Linked DNA regions of Elephas maximus indicus. The protein of the gene in region 2 interacts with the protein of the main gene of each other region in a pairwise test. Links are inferred from orthologs where the notes say so. Each region holds a gene or a part of one and is shown on either strand. Other genes may lie near its edges.

Region 1 (10,774 bases), on a different chromosome or scaffold from region 2:
CTGCTCTCAGCTACATCACCGCTGGTCCACACGTGGAGCTCTCCAGGCTCCTTCCCTCCCCCAGGCTTCAGCACGCACTGCATCCTCCACGTAGCTCATGCTTTTCCCAGATCTGTACCAGGAAGGCAGCAGAAGTGTTCGTCTATCTTTGTCTGTCTGGTTCATTGCTCTATCCCCAACACCTAGGACAGAGCCTGGCACACAGTAGGCTATTGTTGTTCTTAGGTGCCCTGGAGTTGATTCCGACTTGTAACAACCCCATGTGACACAGTAAAACCGCCCCATAGGGTTTTCTAGGCTGTAATCTTTTACGGAAGCAGATCGCCAGGTCTTTCTCTTGAAGAGCCACTGGGTGAGTTCCAAAGCCAACCTTTTGGTTAGCAGCCAAGCACTTAACTGTTGTGCCACCAAGGCTCCTATACAGCAGACAATCAATACTTATTTGTTATCCTGGAGAAAGCCTTCTTGGCACACTCTTCCTAAAGCAGGCCCCTCTAGCCCAGTCCTCAAACTCAACCCCTTGTTCCTTTCTGTCCTGGGATCAGCAAAACTCTGATGGTCCTGTGAATGCATCTGACATCCACTACCTTCCTCTGTAACGAGTCCTTGGGTGGCATTAACAGTTAAGCACTCGACTACTAACTAAAAGGTTGGTGATTTGAACCCACCCAGAGGCGCCTCGAAGACAGGCCTCACAATCTGCTTCCAAAAGGTCACAGCCTTGAAAACCCTATGAAGCAGTTCTACTCTGCACACGTGGAGTCACGAGTCAGAACCGACTCAATGGCAGCTAAGAACAAGAACAACATCTTCCTCCATGGAATGTCTCCTCCAAGAGAGCAGGGACTGGTAAGTCCTGCTTGCCGCTACCCAGCATCTACCCTAGGGCTCCTCTCCAGGGTCCCTCGGAGGCAGGAGGGCAGCGCCTGCCTGGGGATGGGCGGGCCAGCCATTACCTCGATGGTGGATGCCTTGAGGAGAGCGATCTGGTCTTCTCGGCCCAGCTGTAGGAAGCCGGGTACCTGCTTGGCGAAGTCCACAATCTCCTGCACGGAGATGATGGCCAGCTCTGTGAAGTGGGCGAAGCGCTGCTGACGGGCATCACGGGACTGAGGGTCTGCACCCAGAGGCCAGGGCTGAGGACACAGGTGGCCAGAGTCACACAAGACTCTTCCCTGGAACCAGGGCCACGGGGGCACCTGGAGGCCAAGCCTCATCCTCTAGAGCTCCTGCCCTCCCTTGCTTTAGGCCACAGCCCTGCCGGCTCGACCCTGGTGTGCCTGGCCCTCCTCGAGGCTGCACGAGGGCCCATACCGTGACTTTGGGCTGGTCTGAGAAGGAGCGCTTGTTGCACTGCAGCTGGGCCGCCACCAACTGCTGGATCATAAGTTCCTGAGCCGCCGTTAGTTGGACGCCCTCTCCTTCCCCAGAGCCCTGGCTGCCCCCTTCAGGCTCCCCAGGGGAGGCCCCAGGCCCAGAGGATAAGCTGCTGCCACCTCCTGACCCCACGGGTGACTGCTGCTGCTGTTGCTTCTGTATCTTCTTCTTCCGAATCTGTTCTTCGGAGAGGACACCTGTGTGGGCACACGGACCTCAGCAGAGGCTCTAAGGAGAGTGGGCGCCGGGCTGGCACAGCCCCGCATCCCACCGCCCACACTTACACTGCTCCCTCATCCCCGCCTCTTTGCACTTCCGTAGTCGGCACTGCTGGCACTTGCGCCGCATAAAGGCGTCCATCTGACACGTTCCACCGCCCCGGCAGGCATAGCGCCCAGCCCCACCACGGACCACACTGCGCCGGAAGAAGCCCTTGCAGCCCTCGCAGCTGAGTACGTTGTAGTGGAAGCCAGAGGCCTTGTCCCCGCACACGCGGCACAGCTCATGGCCCAGCATCTTGGGAGCTGGGCCCTTCTTCCGCTTGCGCTCTGGCTCCTCCATTGGGTCTGGGATGACTAGGGTGGTCAGATGAAGATCATGAGAGAAGGAGCCACAGGGAGACAGGCCTAAGAGAGGTCCCAGGGTGGAAGCCCGAGCAGGGAGATGTGAACACCCAAGGAGATGGAGACCAGAGAGAAAGATGTGTCAGTGCACCCCAAAGAATGAATCAAAGCAAGAGATGACAAGGGGGAACGAGAGAGGCAAAAAATCAACAAGAGGCAGGGGCTTGCCATCTCCCCATCCTGGTTCTAATCTTTCTACCTTCCCAGATCCCACCTTGAGCCCCAACACCTACTTCCACATCCCATCCTGGGGCCCCATCTCACCCACGCTGCAGGCAGAGCCTGCCCCATCTGTGCCTGGGACATCGGGGTCTGGACCCCCAGGCCAAGGCTCAGGGCCCTCCTCCTTTATAGCAGGTGAAGAAGAGGGGGCTCCAGGCTGAGGGGGGCCATTTCCTGGGAGAGAGGCAACAGGGAGGCACAGTGAGTGCCTCCTTCCTGACCGATGTGTGTGTGTTGCGGGGGGGTGGGCTGGGTGTGGGTGCGGGACACTCACCAGGCAGGGGGCTGTCCAGGGAACTGGTGGTGGGGGTGGACATGGTGGGGTCACGGAGCAGCCTGCAATACAGGGGGATTATGAGCCTCAAAAGGAGTCCTGGTGGCGCAGTAGTTATGTACTTAGCTACTAACTGAAAGGTTGCTCGTTTGAACCCACCAGCTGCTCTGCGGGAGAAAGATGTGGCAGTCTGCTTTGGAACTCTATGGGTAAGGTCTACTCTCCTACAGGGCCACTATGAGTCACAATCGACTCGATGGCAACACATTTTAAGAGACTTGAGGAGTCAGGATGGGTCTCCTCTGAGCTAGTTACATGTGCTAATGAGGTCCCCTCTCCTCCTTCCATCTCTCCCAGACTCCTCCCCAACTCCATAAAGACGCCACCAGGAGCTCCTACCTTCAAACCCTCCCATCCTATTCTAAAAGGCTCTGCCCTTTTTCTGCTCCAGGCTCCTCCCCTCCCCATGTCCCCAGGTCTGGCCCCTTCTGCTCCAAGGCACACCCTACTAAGGTTTTTCCCTCCTACCTGCTACTTCCAGGTCCCACCCTCCTCCTTCAATCCTGCTAAGCATTCACTCCTCCCTCCCATCAAATTCCACCCCACCTGTTCTTATGCGGGTGGCCTGATGGTTAAGACCTACAGCTGCTAACCAAAAGGTCGGCAGTTCGAATCCACCAGGCACTCCTTGGAAACTCTATGGGGCCATTCTACTCTTGGCCTACACAGTCGCTGTGGTTCACAATAGACTCTTAGGCAACAGGTGGGGTCTTTTTGGTTTTACTTATTCAGGAACCCTGGTGGTGCAGAGGTTAAGAGCTACAGCTGCTAACCCAAAGTTCAGCAGTTTGACTCCACCAGCCCCTACCAGATATCCCATGGGGAAGTTCTACTCTGTCCTACAGGGTCACTATAAGGCAGAATCCACCACACGACTACTGGCTTGGGTACTCAGACTCCACGTCACTTCTTCTGAGCAAACTTTAGTTCTGTCCGCATCTTTTCCTTTCAGATCCTCACCCCCTTCTTTCCAAGTTCGGTTCTCATCTCCACCGCTCACGGCCGCCCCCAACATCGTGCTCCAAGCCCCGCCCCATCCGTACCCCCTCTCTACAAGCCCCGCCCCCTCCCCTCCCGTCAGGCTTTTCCCCCTCGCCCCATCATGCTCCGCCCCCACACCTCGCTCCAGGTCCCGCCCCTCTCCAAACACCAGCGGGGGGCGGGGCTCATGGCTGCGCGTGGGGGTCTTCGGGGCGGCCTCTCGCGGGGTCTCCTGGTTCCGTTACCCTGGAAACAGCCGGGGGGCGGTACGAGTTATGAAGGGGCGGGGGAAGAACGAAAGAAGGGGGCTGAATGGAGCGGCGCGGGAAGGGCTGAGATGCCATAGCCCCGGACTCCTCCCACGCCCCCCTCGGGTGCACCTGACTCTGTCCGCTTTCTCTGCTCCGCTTCCTCCTTCTCTGTATCCCCTTGAACGCCGCCACTGCTCCGGTCCCCTCAAAAGTAACTTCGCCACTTCTTCCGGCAACCCCGTCGTGCGTCACCTCCGGAAAAGGGCGGGGAGTGACAGATGACGGAATTCCGGTGCGCGTTACAACAGCTGAATCGGCTGCCCCGCACGAAAGTGGCACACCCACCGGAAGTTTGCCCCCTCCGGGTTGCTCCACTAGGGTGTGGCTGAGGAGTTCCGCGCCAAAGCAATCAAATGTCCTTGAGGGGGCGTTGCCAGTCCCCAACCTTCCCGTCCCGAGCTGTGTGGCCTTAGCGCTTCTGTGGCCTCTCTGGGCCCGCAGCCAAAGATTCGTTATTGTTAGGTGCCCTGGAGTTTAATCCGACTCATAGAGACTGTACGCATAACAGAACTAAACAACGTCCGGTCCTGTGCCATCCTCACAAGCGTTTCTATGCTTAAGCCCATCATTGCAGCCAATGTGTTAATCCGTCTTGTGGTGGTCTTCCTGTTTTTCACTGAGCCTCTACTTTTCCAAGCATGATGTCCTTCTCCACGGACTGGTCTCTCCTAATAACATGTCTGAAGTACATGACACAAGTCTCATCATCCTCTTTACTAATCAGCATTCTGTCTGTCCTAGATTCATACTTCGAGCATTCCATAATCCGATTGTTAGTGGATGTTACAGCTGTTTCTTCTCATTTTGAGTAGTGCCACGACAGCAAATGAGGTTCCGAAAGCTTTACCCCATCCACATCACTAAGGTCAACTCTATTTGAGGAGGCAGCTCTTCCCCAGTCGCCTTTTGAGTGCCTTCCACCATGAGGGGCTTATCATCCTGCACTATATCCGATAATGTTCTGAGACAGGTCTGGGGTCCTGAGGTAAAATTAACCCTCTTGCGAGCAGAAGCTGTAAAAATTCGAAAGCAAACAACATATGGCGTAGGCCGGACACAAGAGAACCAGTATCTTAACCTGAGGCTAAATTTTGAACAATAAGCAACCAGATTTCCCTTAATGCTTCCTCTTAGGATTGTTTTTTAGGCAAACCAACTAAAACTAGAATCCTGCATAGACACAGAAACGATTTGATTGCCCCATGTCATAATTAGTCCTGCCTAGGAACCAAGGAAACCCTGGCGCTTAGTCGTTAAGTGCTACGGCTGCTAACCAAAGGGTGGACAGTTCAAATCCGCCAGGCGCTCCTTGGAAACTCTTTAGGGCAGCTCTACTCTGTCCTATAGGGTCGCTATGAGTTAGAATTGACTCGACGGCACTGGGTTTGGTCTTTTGGTTTGAGGAACCAAGAAACTCATGTCAAGGAACTAAAAACACTGGACATATGTCACCAGATAAAAGCCAGGACCAATTTAGAAGCAAAAGGTCTGAGACCCACTTCTGTGCTAAGTCTTAGCTCAGCTGTTCTTTTAAATATGCTGCTACCCTTCCCCCCCCCCGAATGAGCTCTTTCTATATAATGTTGTCGTTAGGTGCCTTCCAGTCAATTCCGACTCACAGCAACCCTATGCATAATAGAACAAAACAATTCCCAACCCTGTACAAGCCTCACAGTCATTGCTATGCTTGAACACATTGTTGCAACCACTATGTCAGTCCATCTCGTTGAGGGTCTTCCTCTTTTTTGCTGACCCTCTATTTTACCAAGCACGATGCCTTTTCCAGGGACTGATACCTCCTGATAATATGTCCAAAGTACGTGAGACGTAGTCCGGCCAACCTTTCTTCTAAGGAACATTTTGGTTGTACTTCCAAGACAGGCAAATTGTGGAATGACATCATACATGGAGAAAGCAAGAGGTCATTAAAAAAGACAGGAGAGAAAGAAAAGACCTAAATGGATGTCAGAAGAGACTCAGAAACTTACTTTTGAACATCGAGTAGCTAAAGCAAAAGGAAAAAATGATGAAGTAAAAGAGCTGAACAGAATATTTGGAAGGGCAGTCCGAGAAGACAAAGTATTGTGAGGATGTGTACGAAAACCTGGAGATAGAAAACCAAAAGGGAACAACATACTCAGCATTTCTCAGACTGAAAGAACTGAAGAAAACTTCAAGCCTTGAGTTGCAATACTAAAGGATTCTACGGGGAAAATATTAAACAGCAGAAATCATCAAAAGAAGATGGAAGGAATACACAGAGTCACTATACCAAAAAAAAACTTGGTTGACATTCACCCACGTTAAAAGGTAACATATGATCAGGAACCAATGCTACTGAAGGAAGAAGTCCAAGCTGCTCTGAAGGCATTGGCGAAAAACAAGGCTCTGGGAATTGACAGAATACCAGTTGAGATGTTTCAACAAATGGATGCAGCACTGTAAGTACTCACTCATCCATGCCAAGAAATTTGGAAGACAGCTACCTGGCCAGCTGGACTGGAAAAGATCCATATTTATGCCTATTCCCAAGAAAGGTGATCCAGCCAAATGTGGAAATTATCAAACAGTATCATTAATATCACATGCCAGCAAAATTTTGCTGATTCAAAAGCAGGTGCAGCAGTGTATCAACAGGGAAGGGCCAGAAATTCAAGCCAGACTTGGAAGAAGACGTGGAACCAGGGATATCATTGCTGATGTCAGATGGATCCTGGCTGAAAGCAGACAACACCAGAGGGATGTTTTCTTGTTGTTGCTAGGTGCCGTTGAGTCGGTTCCGACTCATAGAGACCCTATGCACAACAGAAAGAAACACTGCCCGGTCCTGCGCCATCCTTACAATCGTTGTCATGCTTGAGCTCATTGTTGCAGCCACTGTGTCAATCCACCTTGTGAGGGTCTTCCTCTTTTCTGCTGGCCCTCTACTCTGCCAAGCATGATGTCCTTCTCCAGGGACTCATCCCTCCTGGCAACATGTCCAAAGTATGTAAGATGCAGTCTCGCCATCCGTGCCTCTAAGGAGCATTCTGGCCACACTTCTTCCAGGACAGATTTGTTCGTTCTTTTGGCAGTCCATGGTATATTCAATATTCTTCGCCAACACCACAGTTCAAAGGCGTCAGCTCTTCTTTGGTCTTCCTTATTCATTGTCCAGCTTTCACACGCATATGATGCGATTGAAAATACCATGGCTTGGGTCAGGCGCACCTTAGTCCTCGGGGTGACATCTTTGCTCTTCAACACTTTGAAGAGGTCCTTTGCAGCAGATTTGCCGAATGCAATGCGTCTTTTGATTTCTTGACTGCTGCTTCGGTGACTGTTGATTGCGGATCCAAGTAAAATGAAATCCTTGACAACTTCAATCTTTTCTCCGTTTATCATGATGTTGCTCATTGGTCCAGTTGTGAGGATTTTTGTTTTCTTTATGTTGAGGTGTAATCCATACTGAAGGCTGTGGTCTTTGATCTTCATTACTAAGTGCTTCGAGTCCTCTTCACTTTTGGCAAGCAAGGTTGTATCATCTGCATAACGCAGGTTGTTAATGAGTCTTCCTCCAATCCTGATGCCCCGTTCTTCTTCATATTGTCCAGCTTCTCGTATTATTTGTTCAGCATACAGATTAAATAGGTATGGTGGAAGAATACAACCCTGACGCACACCTTTCCTGACTTTAAACCAATCAGTATCCCCTTGTTCTGTCCGAACAACTGCCTCTTGATCCTTGTAAAGGTTCCTCATGAGCACAATTAATAGTTCTGGAATTCCCATTCTTCGCAGTGTTATCCATAGTTTGTTATGATCCACAGTCAAATGCCTTTGCATAGTCAATAAAACACAGGTAAACTTCCTTCTGGTATTCTCTGCTCTCCGCCAGGATCCATCTGACATCAGCAATGATATCCCTGGTTTCACATCCTGTTCTGAAACCAGCCTGAATTTCTGGCAGTTCCCTGTCGATATACTGCTGCAGCCGTTTTTGAATGATCTTCAGCAAAATTTTGCTTGCGTGTGATATTAACAATATTGTTCTATAATTTCCACATTCGGTTGGATCACCTTTCTTGGGAATAGGCATAAATATAGATCTCTTCCAGTCAGTTGGCCAGGAAGCTGTCTTCCATACTTCTTGGCATAGATGAGTGAGCACCTCTAGCGCTGCATCTGTTTGTTGAAACACCTCAACTGGTATTCTGTCAATTCCCAGAACCTTGTTTTTCGCCAATGCCTTCAGAGCAGCTTGGACTTCTTCCTTCAGTACCATCGGTTCCTGATCATATGCCACCTCTTGAAATGTTTGAATATCGACTGGTTCTTTTTGGTATAATGACTCTGTGTATTCCTTCCATCTTCTTTTGATGCTTCCTGCATCATTTAATATTTTCCCCATGGAATCCTTCACTATTGCAACTCAAGGCTTGAATTTTTTCTTCAGTTCTTTCAGCTTGAGAAACACTGAGCGTGTTCTTCCCTTTTGGTTTTCCATCTCCAGCTCTTTGCACATGTCATTATAATACTTTATTTTGTCTTCTCAAGAGGCCATTTGTAATCTTCTGTTCAGTTCTTTTACTTCATCAATTCTTCCTTTTGCTTTAGCTGCTCGACGCTCAAGAGGAAGTTTCAGAGTCTCCTCTGACATCCATCTTGGTCTTTTCTTTCTTTCCTGTCTTTTCAGTGACCTCTTGCTTTCTTCATAGATGATGTCCTTGATGTCATTCCACAACTCGTCTGGTCTCTGGTCACTAGTGTTCAATGCGTCAAATCTACTCTTCAGATGGTCTCTAAATTCAGGTGGGATATACTCAAGGTCATATTTTGGCTCTCATGGACTTGGTCTGATTTTCATCAGTTTCAGCTTGAACTTGCATATGAGCAATTGATGGTCTCTTCCACAGTCAGCCCCTGGCCTTGTTCTGACTGATGATATTGAGCTTTTCCATCGTCTCTCTCCATAGATGTAGTCAATTTGATTTCTGTGTGTTCCATCTGGTGAGGTCCATGCGTATAAAAATAGTCACTGTTTATGCTGGTGAAAGAAGGTATTTGCAATGAAGAAGTCGTTGGTCTTGCAAAATTCTATCATTCCATCTCCAGCATTGTTTCTATTACCAAGGCCATATTGTCCAAATACTGATCCTTCTTCTTTGTTTCCAACTTTTGCATTCCAATCACCAGTAATTATCAATGCATCTTGATTGCATGTTCGATCAATTTCAGACTGTAGCAGCTGATAAAAATCTTCTATTTCTTCGTCTTTGGCCCTAGTGGTTGGTGTGTAAATTTGAATAGTCGTATTAACTGGTCTTCCTTGTAGGCGTATGGATATTATCCTATCACTGACAGCGTTGTACTTCAGGATAGATCTTGAAATGTTCTTTTTGACGATGAATGCAACATCATTCCTCTTCAAGTTGTCATTCGCAGCATAGTAGACTATATGATTGTCTGACTCAAAATGGCCAATACCAGTCCATTTCAGCTCACTAATGCCTAGGATATCGATGTTTATGCGTTCCATTTCATTTTTGGTGATTTCCAATTTTCCTAGATTCATATTTCATGCATTCCAGGTTCTGATTATTAATGGAAGTTTGCAGCTCTTTCTTCTCATTTTGAATTGCGCCACATCAGCATATGAAGGTCCCGGAAGCTTTACTCTATCCACTCATTAAGGTTGACTCTACTTTGAGGAGGCAGCTCTTCCCCAGTCATCTTTTGAGTGCCTTCCAACCTGGCGGGCTCATCTTCCAGGACTATATTAGACAATGTTCCACTGCTATTCGTAAGGTTTTCACTGGCTCATACTTTTCAGAAGTAGACTGCCGGGTCCTTCTTCCTAGTCTGTCTTAGTCTGGAAGCTCAGCTGAAACCTGTCCTCCATGGGTGACCCTGCTGGTATCTGAATACCGGTTGCATAGCTTCCAGCATCACAGCAACACACAAGCCCCCACAGTACGACAAACTGACAGACACGTGGGGGAGAGATGTTTACCTGTGTTTTATTGACAATGCAAAAGGCATTTGGCTGTGTAGCTCATAACAAATTATCAAAAACACTGCAGAGAACGGGAATTCTGGAACACTTAATTGTCGTTGTGAGGGATCTGTACTTGGATCAAGAGTCAGCCGTTTGAAAAGAACAAGGGGATACTACATGGTTTAAAGTCAGGAAAGGTGTGGGATAGGGTTGTATCCTTTCACCATATAGGTAGTAATCAGATAATATATATACATATACGAGAATATATGATGCGTACGTTTTTGTAACTTGTGCTGTCCACTAAACAGTACAATACAAAGATCCTTTTATGCTCAGCAAATGCACTACCCATTCCTGGCCTTTGAGGCCGTGGAATTTTCCACCCAAGCATGTTAGCAGTAAAGCAAATAGTTAATGTGGGTGTCCTGGTCTGGCAGAACTGGGTGTCTGACACTTCCTCGTTGTGTAATGTTGAGGCAAATTACTCAACGTCCCTGTGCCTCGGTTCTCATCTGTAAACAAGGGACAAAAGAAAGAATTGACTTCAGTGCATTGTTGTTATGATTAAATGAGGTAAACAGCATGAACTGGGCCAGGCTCAAATAAGGAACTTGATACTTTGGAACTGTGTTTATTTTTATAGACATCAAAATTATTTCTAACTTCTTACTATTATTGTTTTTACTGTTGAATGCCATTGAGTCGATTTTGACTCATAGCATATGGCACAGTAGAACTTCCTCTGGTTTCCTAGGCTGTACAGGAGTAGATCACCAAGTCTTTCTCCCTTGGAGCTGCCTGGTGGGGTCAAACTGCCAGCCTTCCAGTTAGCAGCGGAGTACTTAACTTTGCACACCAGGGCTCTTTTTTTCACATAAACCAAAGCACACTGCCGTTGAGTTGATTCCAACTCATATTAGAACCAGGCAAGCTAAAGATGAATTAC
Region 2 (11,001 bases):
GACATGTAAATGAATGAGTGGGTGTGTTCCAACAAAACTTTATTTACAAAAATAGGTAGTAGGCCAGGTTTGACCTGTGAACCATAGTTTGTTGACCCATGACATAGGTAACGGTGAATTTTCCTACAATTTAGGAATATTTCCTTCATCTTTCTCTGCCTTTTACGTCTGCCAACACCTCTGACTTACTTAAGCAAAAATTACATCACACCAGCCTGAGCCCAGAAGAACCAAATGGTGCCCAGCTACCACCGCTGACCACTTTGACAAGGATCACAATAAAGGGTCCCTGACAGAGCGGAAGAAAAATGTAGCAGAAAAATCAAATTCACAAAAAAGACCTACTGGTCTGACAGAGACTGGAGGAACCCTCAAGACTATGGCCCCTGGACACCCTTCTAACTCACAACTGAATCCACTCCCGAAGTTCACCTTTCAGCCAAAGATCAGACAGGCCTATAAAACAAACAATAACACAAGTAAAGAACGTGCTTCTTAGTTCAATCACATATACAAGATCAAATGGGAAACACCTGCCCAAAAGCAAAGGGGAGAAGGCAGGAAGGGACAGGAAAACTAGATGAACAGAAATGGGGAAACTGGGGTGGAAAGGGGAAGAGTGCTGACATATTGCAGGGATTGCAACCAATGTCACAAAACAATTTGTGAATAAATTGTTGAATGAGAAACTAATATGCCCTGTAAAATTTCACCTAAAACACAATTTAAAAAGAAAAACAAAAACTACATCTCACTGGCAGCTTTGCAATGATTTCCAAAAGCCTATTACTCTTTTTTATTACTCTACCAAAAACACTCTTCTTTGACAATTCTCACCTCATTTTCCATCTACCTTTTTTCTAAACCTCTTTGACAGCCACCATCTCAAACTAAAAAAAAACACAACAAAAACCAAACCTGTTACCCTTGAGTTGACTCTGACTCATAGCAACCCTATAGGACAGAGTAGAACTGCCCCAGAGGGTTTCCAAGGGTGTAATCTTTACAGAAGCAGACTGCCACATCTTTCTCCCTCAGAGTAGCTAGGGGGTTCAAACTGCCAACCTTCTGGTTAGCAGCCAAGCACTTAACCACTGCGCCACCAGGGCTCCTTATCCCAAACTAAAAATTTAAAAAATTCCTTCTCTCTCACCACTAATGATATTAACTATCAACACCTAAAAACTCCAACTCTGTGTAATGCCCACAGCCTCTGCCTTAGTTCAGCTCATCATTACTTCTCTGCTCTCCAGTCCACCCTCCTTCCAAAGAGAATCCATTTATCTTCTAAAAATTAAATCTCACCATACTACAGCTGATTGTGTATGGCAAAGTAGAGGATCAACGAATGCAAGAGAAACCCTCAATAAGATGGACGGGCACATAAGCTGCAACAAGGGACTCAAACATACCACTTATCATGAAGATGGCGCAGGACTGAGAAATATTTTGTTTTGTTATGCATAAGGTGGCCATGAGTCAGAGCTGACTCTATGGCAACCAACTACCTCAGCAGAGGATTCAGTCCAAACTCCCTAACAAGGTCCTTTACAACCAAGTTCCAGTCAACCCTCCAGTCTCACCTCCAACCACTCTTTCACACATACACACACACCCTATGCTCTTGCCACATTCAATTACATTCCCTGAAAATGCATGCGTTTACCTGAAAAGCTCTTCCCTCCAACTCTCCATCTTCCAAACTCCTCTATCTTTCAAGACATATCTTCACAAAAATCTTCCCTGATTTGTGGTGCAGACACTCCCACCACTGTGTCCTTACAAACTTTGATAACTCTCCTTTGGCATTTGTCATCCTAAACTATCATTGTTTACATGTCTACTTCTCACTGGACCAAACACCCAAAGACCCTGCCCTGATGACGCAGTGGCTCTGTGGGAGAGAGATGTGGCAACCTGCTTCCGTAAAGATTACGGTCTTGGAAACCCTATGGGGCAGTTCTACTCAGTCCTACACGGTCACTATGAGTTGGACTTGACTGGACGGCAACAGATTTGGAGTTTTTGGTAAAGACCTCTGAATCCTCAGAGTCTAGCACACTGAGCACTGTGCTTGACACACCAGATGTCTTGGCACACAATAAATAACTGTTGAATGGAAGATATGCCTGGTAGTGGGAATCATAGTAGGCTTCTTAACGTGAGGTTTAGAGACAAGAGCTCATAGAGAGAATTCAGGGAGTCCGTGAACTTGTGTTATTTTCACTGAACTCCAACTGAAGTTACCATTTTCTTCAAACATAAGTGTAGACAAAAAATCATTGTACTATTAGCAGCACCTATGACTCTGTCAATACAAACATCACAGATACCTTTATATATTTCAGTAGTTATAGATATCTAAAAATATTACTTATACTCATTTCTTTGAAATTAAAATAATCAGACCCTTCACTAGATCTTTTTGTGTTTAATTTTTTTTTGTAATTTTTATTGTGCTTTAAGTGAAAGTTTACAAACCAAGTCAGTCTCTCACATAAAAACTTATGTACACCTTGCTACATACTCCCAATTACGCTCCCCCTAATGAGACAACCCGCTCTCTCCCTCCACTCTCTCTTTTCGTGTCTATTTCACCAGCTTCTATCCCCCTCTACCCTCTCATCTCCCCTCCAAGCAGGAGACGCCAACAGAGTCTCAAGTGTCCTGATCCAAGAAGCTCACTCCTCACCAGCATCCCTCTCCAACCCGTTGTCCAGTCCAATCCATGTCTGAAGAGTTGGCTTCGGGAATGGTTCCTGTCCTGGGCCAACAGAAGGTCTGGGGGCCATGACCACCAGGGTCCTTCTAGTCTCAGTCAGACCACTAAGTCTGGTCTTTTTATGAGAATTCGGGGTCCGCATCCCACCGCTCTCCCGTTCCCTCAGGGGTTCTCTGTTATGTTCCCTGTCAGGGCAGTCATGAGTTAAACAGCCGGACATCATTTAGTTCTTTGACTAGATCTTTTTAACGTGCTGCTAAAGTATATACATTACTATATCACAGTTTGTAATATTTTAATAACTATTTCAATATAATTGGTTTCCTCTGTAATCCTATATTATTTTATTTTATACAATTAAAAATATTATTCTGAGAGGAGTCCATAGGCTTCATCAGATGCTAAGGGGCCCATGACACCCCTGTATTAAAAAGACCCAGAATAAATGAACTGCGTTGCTGTATATACATACAATAATGAAAATTTTACTGTTATAAATGCTCTCTTAATCTTTTTAATTTTATGGGGGCTCTGGGCCTACCACATCATGACCAATTTGCATAGTTTCCCTGAGAACTCTACCACAGCCCATCTGAACTTTGAACTCCTTTCTATTATGATCAAACTTCGACTAACATTTGATCATGACAGAGATTCTGGGTCTCTACCATTGTTTACTGTTATCTTTTTAGGCTTTTTGTGTCCATTTACGGTATAAAACCAAACCCACTGCTGTCGAGTCAGCTCCAACCACTAAAAGAGAAGGATCATTTCTAAAAATTATAAGAAGTTAGAGGTCAAAAGGGTCTTGAAGATAACTTTTTTGCATAAATGGAAGTGAGCTAATAACAAATAGCTGGTTACCTATACTTTTTGGTATTCCCCCCCCACCCTCTGCACTGACAACGCATTATAAAACCAATTCATTAATAGTTTTCTGATACATACTGCCATTCTTTACTTAACATTTTTCTCCCAGCTACCACATGCTTTTAAGGCAGCGTGATGAATGAGAAGGCAGCAAACCTGAGTTCTGGAATCCCCTCTGCCACTGCTTCTAAGATCTTGGGAAATCAACTTTACCTTTCTATGTCTCACCTAAAATCACTACATAATCTGAAACCATTACAGGATTCACTCCTTTTTACCAAGCTTACTGGCTTCGATAAATGCGTTTCCGACGACCTCCCTAGGTGACCCTGCTTTTAAGCAGTGGGCTGTCCCTTTCCTGGGAAGACACCTTGGGTCACCGCCCCCAAACAGCCTGGTTCCTCCTTTTAAAGACACAGACAAACTCCCTAAATTGATGGAGGCTTGCTCTCTCCTTGCCAACAGCTCCACTCGGCACCCCTTTTGCTGGCCAGCTCCTTCACTCAAACCTCAGCCCCTTCTTCTCTCTTCCTCATCAAACCCTTCCCTTTTTCTGGTGCTCTCGCCAATGAAGGGTGAAGAACCCTGGGGTACATAAGTCTTCAGTCCCTTGGGGGTTATAAAAACTTGCAATTCAGCGCCAGGACTCCGAGGGCTGCCCAATCCAATACCTCCGTCTGAACCCGAAGGTCCCCCGTTTCTAATCAAACCCACCTGGAGAACTGTCCTAGCCTTGACAGCTTGAGCTAGGCCCCCACGTCCCCCGGGTCGAACCTGTACTGGGGTCCTGAACACCGCCCATGGCCCAACTCGGCTTCAGGTCCTGCCCCCACCTAACTCAGTAGACTCCGGCCACGGTTCCATTCGGACCCAGTGTCCCTTCTTCGCGACCCCGGCCACGACCCCACGTCCGGCTCCCGCCAGTTCCCTGGGCCCCGAGCGCCACGCCGTGCAGACCCCGGCCCGGCCCTGCACTCCCTCGGGGCTCCAGACCCGGCGACCCACAACCCCCCCACCCCCGGCCAAGCCCCCGCTCCCGTCGGCGCCCCCGCCCGCAGGCCTGGGGCCCGCTCCCCAACATGGCGACGGGGACACCAGCCCGGCGGGCGGGGCGGCTCCGGGCCCGGCCCGTACTCGGGCCGCGCTCCACGGTCGGCCGGCGCCATTTTCCCGCGCCGGGCCCGAGCGGCACTTCCTTCCCGCGGAGCCAGCCGGGCCGAGATCGCGGACGCCCGGCGGGCCCACCCCTTACGGGCCCGCGTCGCCGTCGCCTCACCTGAGCGCCGCTCCGGCCCTCCCGGGCGGGCCTCGGAGAGCCGGCCCGGGCCGTGCGTGCCCGCAGCCCTCCGTGCGTCCGTCCGTCCGTCCTCGCGTGCGCCCGTCTGTCCGGCCGTCTGCTCCCGGCCGCCCGCAGCCCGACCCGCCAGGGCCTCAGGGAGCCGGCGGGGAGGGGGATGGGCCGGACCGGGCCGGTGAGGGAGGGGGAGGGAGGGAGGGAGCGCGGGAGGGGGCGGGGCGGACCAGAGGGGCGGGGCCCTGTCCACGTGACCAAACGTCCCCGGGAGCGCGAGGGGCGCGCGCCCGCTCACGTGGGTGCAGAGCATTTAGTGCTGGGATGGCATGGATTTGTGTCAGTTTCTCTGCTCCGTGATCTCACCAGTGGCTCCTGCCCCGACTTCTAACCACTGCACAACACAGCGGGAGCGCTCTGGCTGGGTGTCCTTGGGTAACTCACCTCTCCATGCCTCAGTTTCCTCATCTGAAGTACGGGGATAGTAGTTGCGATTGACAAGAGGAAATGGGAAAAGCATGGAAAGCACTTGGCACAGGGCCTGGAGCGTAACGAAGATAACAGCCTTTATCATTATTTGTCTGTAAGCTCCTCTCTACTTTTTCTCATAACCACCACACTAGCAAGCTCTGTAGGTGCTCAATAAATATATCCCTTTAGTGAACAAGTGCGTGTGGCCCCCTCCCCTCTCAAATGTGGGGAGGACCCCCCAGCACTGGACTTGATGTCATACAGCTCTGAATTCAGATCTGCCTTTCCCTCTTGATAGCTGTGTGATTTTTTTTGCCTCTCTGAACCTCAGTTTCTTCATCTGTAAAATGGAAGTAAAGAGTCTCTTATGAGCATCACAGAAGATAGAAGATGAGCAGATGGATTGTAAACTGCTTATAGGTGTCCTGGTCTCATCTTAGAAAAGAAGTCGGGAGCCCTTTCATTCACAGGTATTTATTGAGCACACACTATGTGCTCGGACTAGTGTAGTACCCACTTACAGCCTTTTCACATGCTCCCTGCACCCTCTCCAATCTATTCTCCACTCTGCTGTCAGAGTAACATTTCTAAGTCAGAAATCTGATTATGTTAGTCCCCTATTTGAAACTATTTGACAGCTTCATGTTGCTCTTGAGATAAAGACCAAATCAATGTCTTACTGTTGTCTTCCCCACCTCTCCAGGTGCATCTCAGGCCCTCTTCCATCTCTGGGCTGCAACCACAATGGTCTTCTTCCCAATTCTTTACACATTGTAATCCCTCCCTCCTCAGCACCCTTGCACATGCTCATTCTCTGCCTGAAATGCTCTGCCCCCCTTAGCCTTCAGATCCAAACTCAAATGTCACTACCCCAAGAACGCCTTCCCTGGCCATCCCCCCCAGACAGGCCCCCTTAGCAGCATGCACTTATCCTTGATAGAACAGACTAGGTGGTTTATTGCCACTAGAATGTGGACTCCCTTGTTCACCGCTGTTCCCTCAGCATGTAACACAATGCCTGGCACAGAGTAGGCGCTCAATCAATATTTGCTGTATGTATGGATCCTGTGCACTATACTAGGTGCTGAGTCCAAAAGGACAGAGAAAAGCAAAGAGAACAACAGTGCAGCTATAAAATTAACACCGAAGGACTTTGCAAGAGGCTGGACATTATTTTTTTGAAACTTTTGAAAAATTGAGGTATAATTTATATGCAGCAAAATGCAAAAATCTTAACTTTATACCTAATAAATTTTTAGCTATGTTCCTGTGTTAACACCTCTCAGATCAAGTTATAGAACATCTCTAACAGCCCAAAGGGTTCCCTTCTGTCACTTCCAGAACGTCCCCTCCCAGTCAATACCTGATTCCCCAAAGGTAACCACTACTCTGACTTCTAGCACCGTAAATTAACTTTGACAGTTCTTGAACTTCACATAAACAGAACTGTATAGTACGTACTGTTTTGTGTTAGCCTGGAAATCTGACAGAGCTAAAGAGTGACTATTTGGATAATGATACAATTAATGTGTTGCTTGACTGATTAGTTAATCTGAAAGACTGAACGAGAAACTCTGGTCACTTGATCCTATTTAGACAGGGGTCCTGCCAGCAGCCAGCCCAGAGGCTGAAATGACATCATCCACAGACCTCTGAGCCCCACAAAAGCTTTTGAAGGTAAGAAAGCTCTGAAAAATTCCACAACCTGAGCCACTGTCCTTACTTTTCACTTTCTTATCCATTTCCTTAAGCCAAGGGTCATTGGTTTTCCCGGGATCAGCAAGGAAACAAGGAGTTGAGGACAGAGGTGCCAACTTGGTTGCCTACACATCCTGGAAGTGAAAATAGCAGCATAAACAGGGTCCACAGCCCCACAGGAAGGCAACAAAGGAACAAGAACAGACCATGAACTGGCAGACAGTGTGCGTAATGATTACAAGCTTGGACTCTGAAGCCAGAATGCCCAAGTTCAGGTTCTAGCTCTGCCATTTATTAGCTATGTGATATTGAGCAAATCCAATCTCCTTGTTTTACAGATGAGAAAATGAGAGCACAAGGAGATAAATGACTTGCCTAACAGGGTCAGTTCTACTCTGCCCTTTAGGGTCACTATGAGTTGGAATCGACTCAACGGCAACAGGTTTGGTTTTTTTTTTTGTTTGACAGGGTCCAAAGCATTTTCTTTGTTTCATTTATTTTGTTTTGTGTCCCAAATAGACTGTAAGTTCCCCCAAGGAAGCTCTTTTTGAATAACCATCACTTGTAATATCACTTACCTTTTTTGTGCCTTAGTTGTGTTATCTGTAAGATGCAGATAATAAGGGCTCCTATCTCATAAGGTCCTCAGGAGAACTAAATGAATTGTTACATAAGAATGTCTAGAAGGGTGTCTAGCACAGATGATGGCCTCAACATGCAGCAGATGAACACAAACCTCTGAATACATTTTTAGGCTGTTTCACAGAGTGTTTTGAGCAAAAAGTAGTCCTAAGATGCCCAGCTTCTTGTTCCGGAATCAGACTTGGGTAAATAAAAAGCAAATCCATTGTTCTTTGATATGAGCAATTTATTCAAATGAGCATTTATTGAACTTCTATTTTCATATGTACATTAAGCTTTGAAGTGATAAAATTGATAGTGACTACGTGAATGATGTTTTTCAGAAGAACAAGTAACAACGAACATGGGGAAAAAAAAAAGGACAAACCAACCCAGAACGCACCAACATTCTACTCTCTGCAGGGCTCATCACAACAAAACCAAACAGGGTTACCATATGCAATTCGGGAAATTGTGCCCTGCAAGAGGAAACCACATCTAAGTGGGCGCTATTCCCATTATAGACATTGTAGGTTTGTAAATCTGTTGTGTTAATTTACCAGCAGATGGCAGTAAGTGCCTTGTTATTACAAAATACGCTCATAATTTTCAAAGGGAAATAATGTACACTCTTTGTACTTTGCATAAAGGCTTAGTTCGTATGAGCATGTGTAAAGCTGATGAATTTTCACAAATTGAACAAACCTGTGCAACCAGCATCTAAATCAAGAAACAGAACATTACCAAAAGCCAAACCAAACGCATTGCTATCAATTCCAACTCATAGCAACCGTACAGGACAGATTAGAACTATCCCACAGGGTTTCCAAGGAGTGGCTGGTGAACTGGAACTGCAGACCCTTTCATTAGCAGCTGAACTCTTAACCACTGAGCCATTACCAGGCCCCCAGAAATCCCATAGTTTCCCTTCCCCTCATTACCACCCTGAGAGCAGCATCCTGAATCCATAGATTAGGTTTGCCAAGTTTTAAACTTTATATATGTGTGTGTGTATATATATATACATATATATATATGTGTGTGTGTATATATATATATATATATACACACACACATATATATAAATGGATTCATACAGAATGCACTCTTTTTGGCTCCTTTGCTCAATTTTATGTTTTCGAGATTCATCTATATTTTTGCATGTAGTTGTAGTGTGTTATTTTCATTGCTGCATAGCATTTCACTGTTTGAATATCCTATAATTTATCCGTTCTACCACTGGTGGGCATTTAGGTTTTTCCTTTAGGGCTATTTTTAATAGTACTATTATGAACATTCTTTTTTTTTTTTTTGAACATTCTTGTACATATCTTTGGGTAAACATATGTACAATGTTCTATTGGTTATATACCTAGGACTGGGGTCATAGAATTGGCTTGTATTCAGCTGTAGCTGCCATACCCATTGCCATTAAGTGGATTCCAACTCATAGTGATCCTATAGGACAGGGTAGACCTGCCCCATAGGTTTTCCTAGACTGTAATCATTACAAAAGCAGACCGCCACAACTTTCTCCCATGAAACAACTGGTGGGTTCAAACAGCCGACCTTTTGGTTAGCGGCCAAGCATTTTAACCACTACCCCACCAGGGTTTTAGCTGATAATGCCAAATTCTGTGTATTTTTTAAAGCAGCTTTATTGATATATATAATACACATTTAAAGTATACAATTCACCCATTTAAAGTACACAATTCAAATGGTTTTAGTATAGTCACAGATATAAGCAACCACCACCATAGTCAATTTCAGAGCATATTTTCATCACCTCAAAAAGAAACCTCATACCCTTAACCGTCAGACCTCTCTTCTTCCACTACCCCAGCCCTAGCAACCACTAATCTACTTTCTGTCTGTATAGATTTGCCTATTCTGGATATTTCATATAAATAGAATCATACAATATGTGGTCTTTTGGATCATGATAATTGGATAATTTAGCATGTTTTCAAGGTTCATCCATGTTGTAGCATTTCTTTATATATATGGTCAAATAATGTTTCATGGTACAAGTATACCACATTTTGCATTTTCATTTCAGTTGGTGGACATTTTGGGTTTTTCCACCTTTTGGCCATTTTGTATAATCCTGTTATGAACAGTTGTGCACAAGTTTCATTTCTCTTGAGTAGACCTAGAAGTGTTATTGGGTCACATGGTAACTGTTGAATCACTTGAGGAATTGCCAGATTATTTTCCAAAGTGGCTGAACCATTCTGCATTCCCTCCAGCATTGTATGAGGGTTTCTAGTTCTCCACATCCTTGCTAACACTTATTATTATCTTTTTGATTGTAGCCATCCTACTGGATATAAAATGGTATCACCTTATGGTTTCGGTTTGCATTTCCCTGATTACTAATGATGTTGAACATCTTTTCTTGTGCTATTGGCCATTTGTATATCTTCTTTAGAAAAATGTCTATTTAGATCCTTTACCTATTTTTTTTAGATAAAATCACATAACCTAAAATTCACCATTTTAACAATTTTGAAGTGTTTAATTTAGTGGGTTTTAGTACATTCACAATGTTGTACAACCAGCATCACCATCTGTCTTAAGCTGGGTTCTCTAGAAAAGCAAAACCAGTAAGCATATAAATATATATAGAGAGAGAGAAGTCATGTAGAGGCTGGAATGTCCGAAGGCTGTGGATCAGGATAGAGGCTTCTCCTGATTCACATAGCCACAGGGGCTGGCGAACCCAAGGTTGGCAGGTCAGAGAGCAGGACCCTCGTTCACAGGCTGTGAAGATCACCAAATCCCAAGATTGGCACTAAGCTGCTAGCTCAAGTCCCAAGAACCGAAGGTCAGATGAACAAGAGGCATCTGCAGGATCCAGAACAAGCCAAAAGCCTTGGCAAGGAGAGTGTGAAGGAAGTAGGTGGCAGAGGGTGGAAAGATGAAGGCTGAGGGGGCGGTGAACTGCCACAGGCCCCGCCCCCACCGTTATCACTCAGCAGATTCCATCATAAGGGTGATCACATATCAAATTTCAACAGGGAAGTGACCACAACGGTATACAACTGCCAAAACACTAAAAATCATGGCCCAGCCAAGTTGACACACAATCTTAGCCATCACACCATCTAATTCCAGAACATTCCAACCACCACATTAAAAAAAACCCATACCTGTAAGGAATCTCAGTTCCCCATTCCCTCCATTCTTCTGGCAATCTTTAATCTACTTTGTCTTATAGATTTGCCTATTCTGGGCATTTCATATAAATGGAATCATATAGTATGTGGCTTTTTGTGTCTTCTTTCATATAGCATAAATGTGTTCAAGGTTCATCCATGTTGTA

The links. The genes of interacting proteins can lie anywhere in the genome.
Region 1: the proteins of NCOA6 (region 2) and NR1H2 interact in a two-hybrid assay, tested with the Homo sapiens proteins (2 studies listed by BioGRID). The link is inferred for Elephas maximus indicus from reciprocal best matches to the Homo sapiens genes NCOA6 and NR1H2.

Annotation. Positions count from the first base shown.
Region 1 is NC_064829.1:98,027,341-98,038,114, forward strand, and holds the start of NR1H2 (oxysterols receptor LXR-beta), read right to left. Parts: upstream 4,049-10,774; 5' UTR 3,918-4,048; intron 3,784-3,917; 5' UTR 3,676-3,783; intron 2,559-3,675; 5' UTR 2,540-2,558; coding exon 2,497-2,539; intron 2,397-2,496; coding exon 2,265-2,396; intron 2,004-2,264; coding exon 1,662-2,003; intron 1,575-1,661; coding exon 1,315-1,574; intron 1,137-1,314; coding exon 957-1,136; intron 1-956. UniProt on the Homo sapiens protein: Nuclear receptor that exhibits a ligand-dependent transcriptional activation activity. Binds preferentially to double-stranded oligonucleotide direct repeats having the consensus half-site sequence 5'-AGGTCA-3' and 4-nt spacing (DR-4).
Region 2 is NC_064843.1:34,634,393-34,645,393, reverse strand, and holds the start of NCOA6 (nuclear receptor coactivator 6), read right to left. Parts: upstream 5,072-11,001; 5' UTR 4,869-5,071; intron 1-4,868. UniProt on the Homo sapiens protein: Nuclear receptor coactivator that directly binds nuclear receptors and stimulates the transcriptional activities in a hormone-dependent fashion. Coactivates expression in an agonist- and AF2-dependent manner.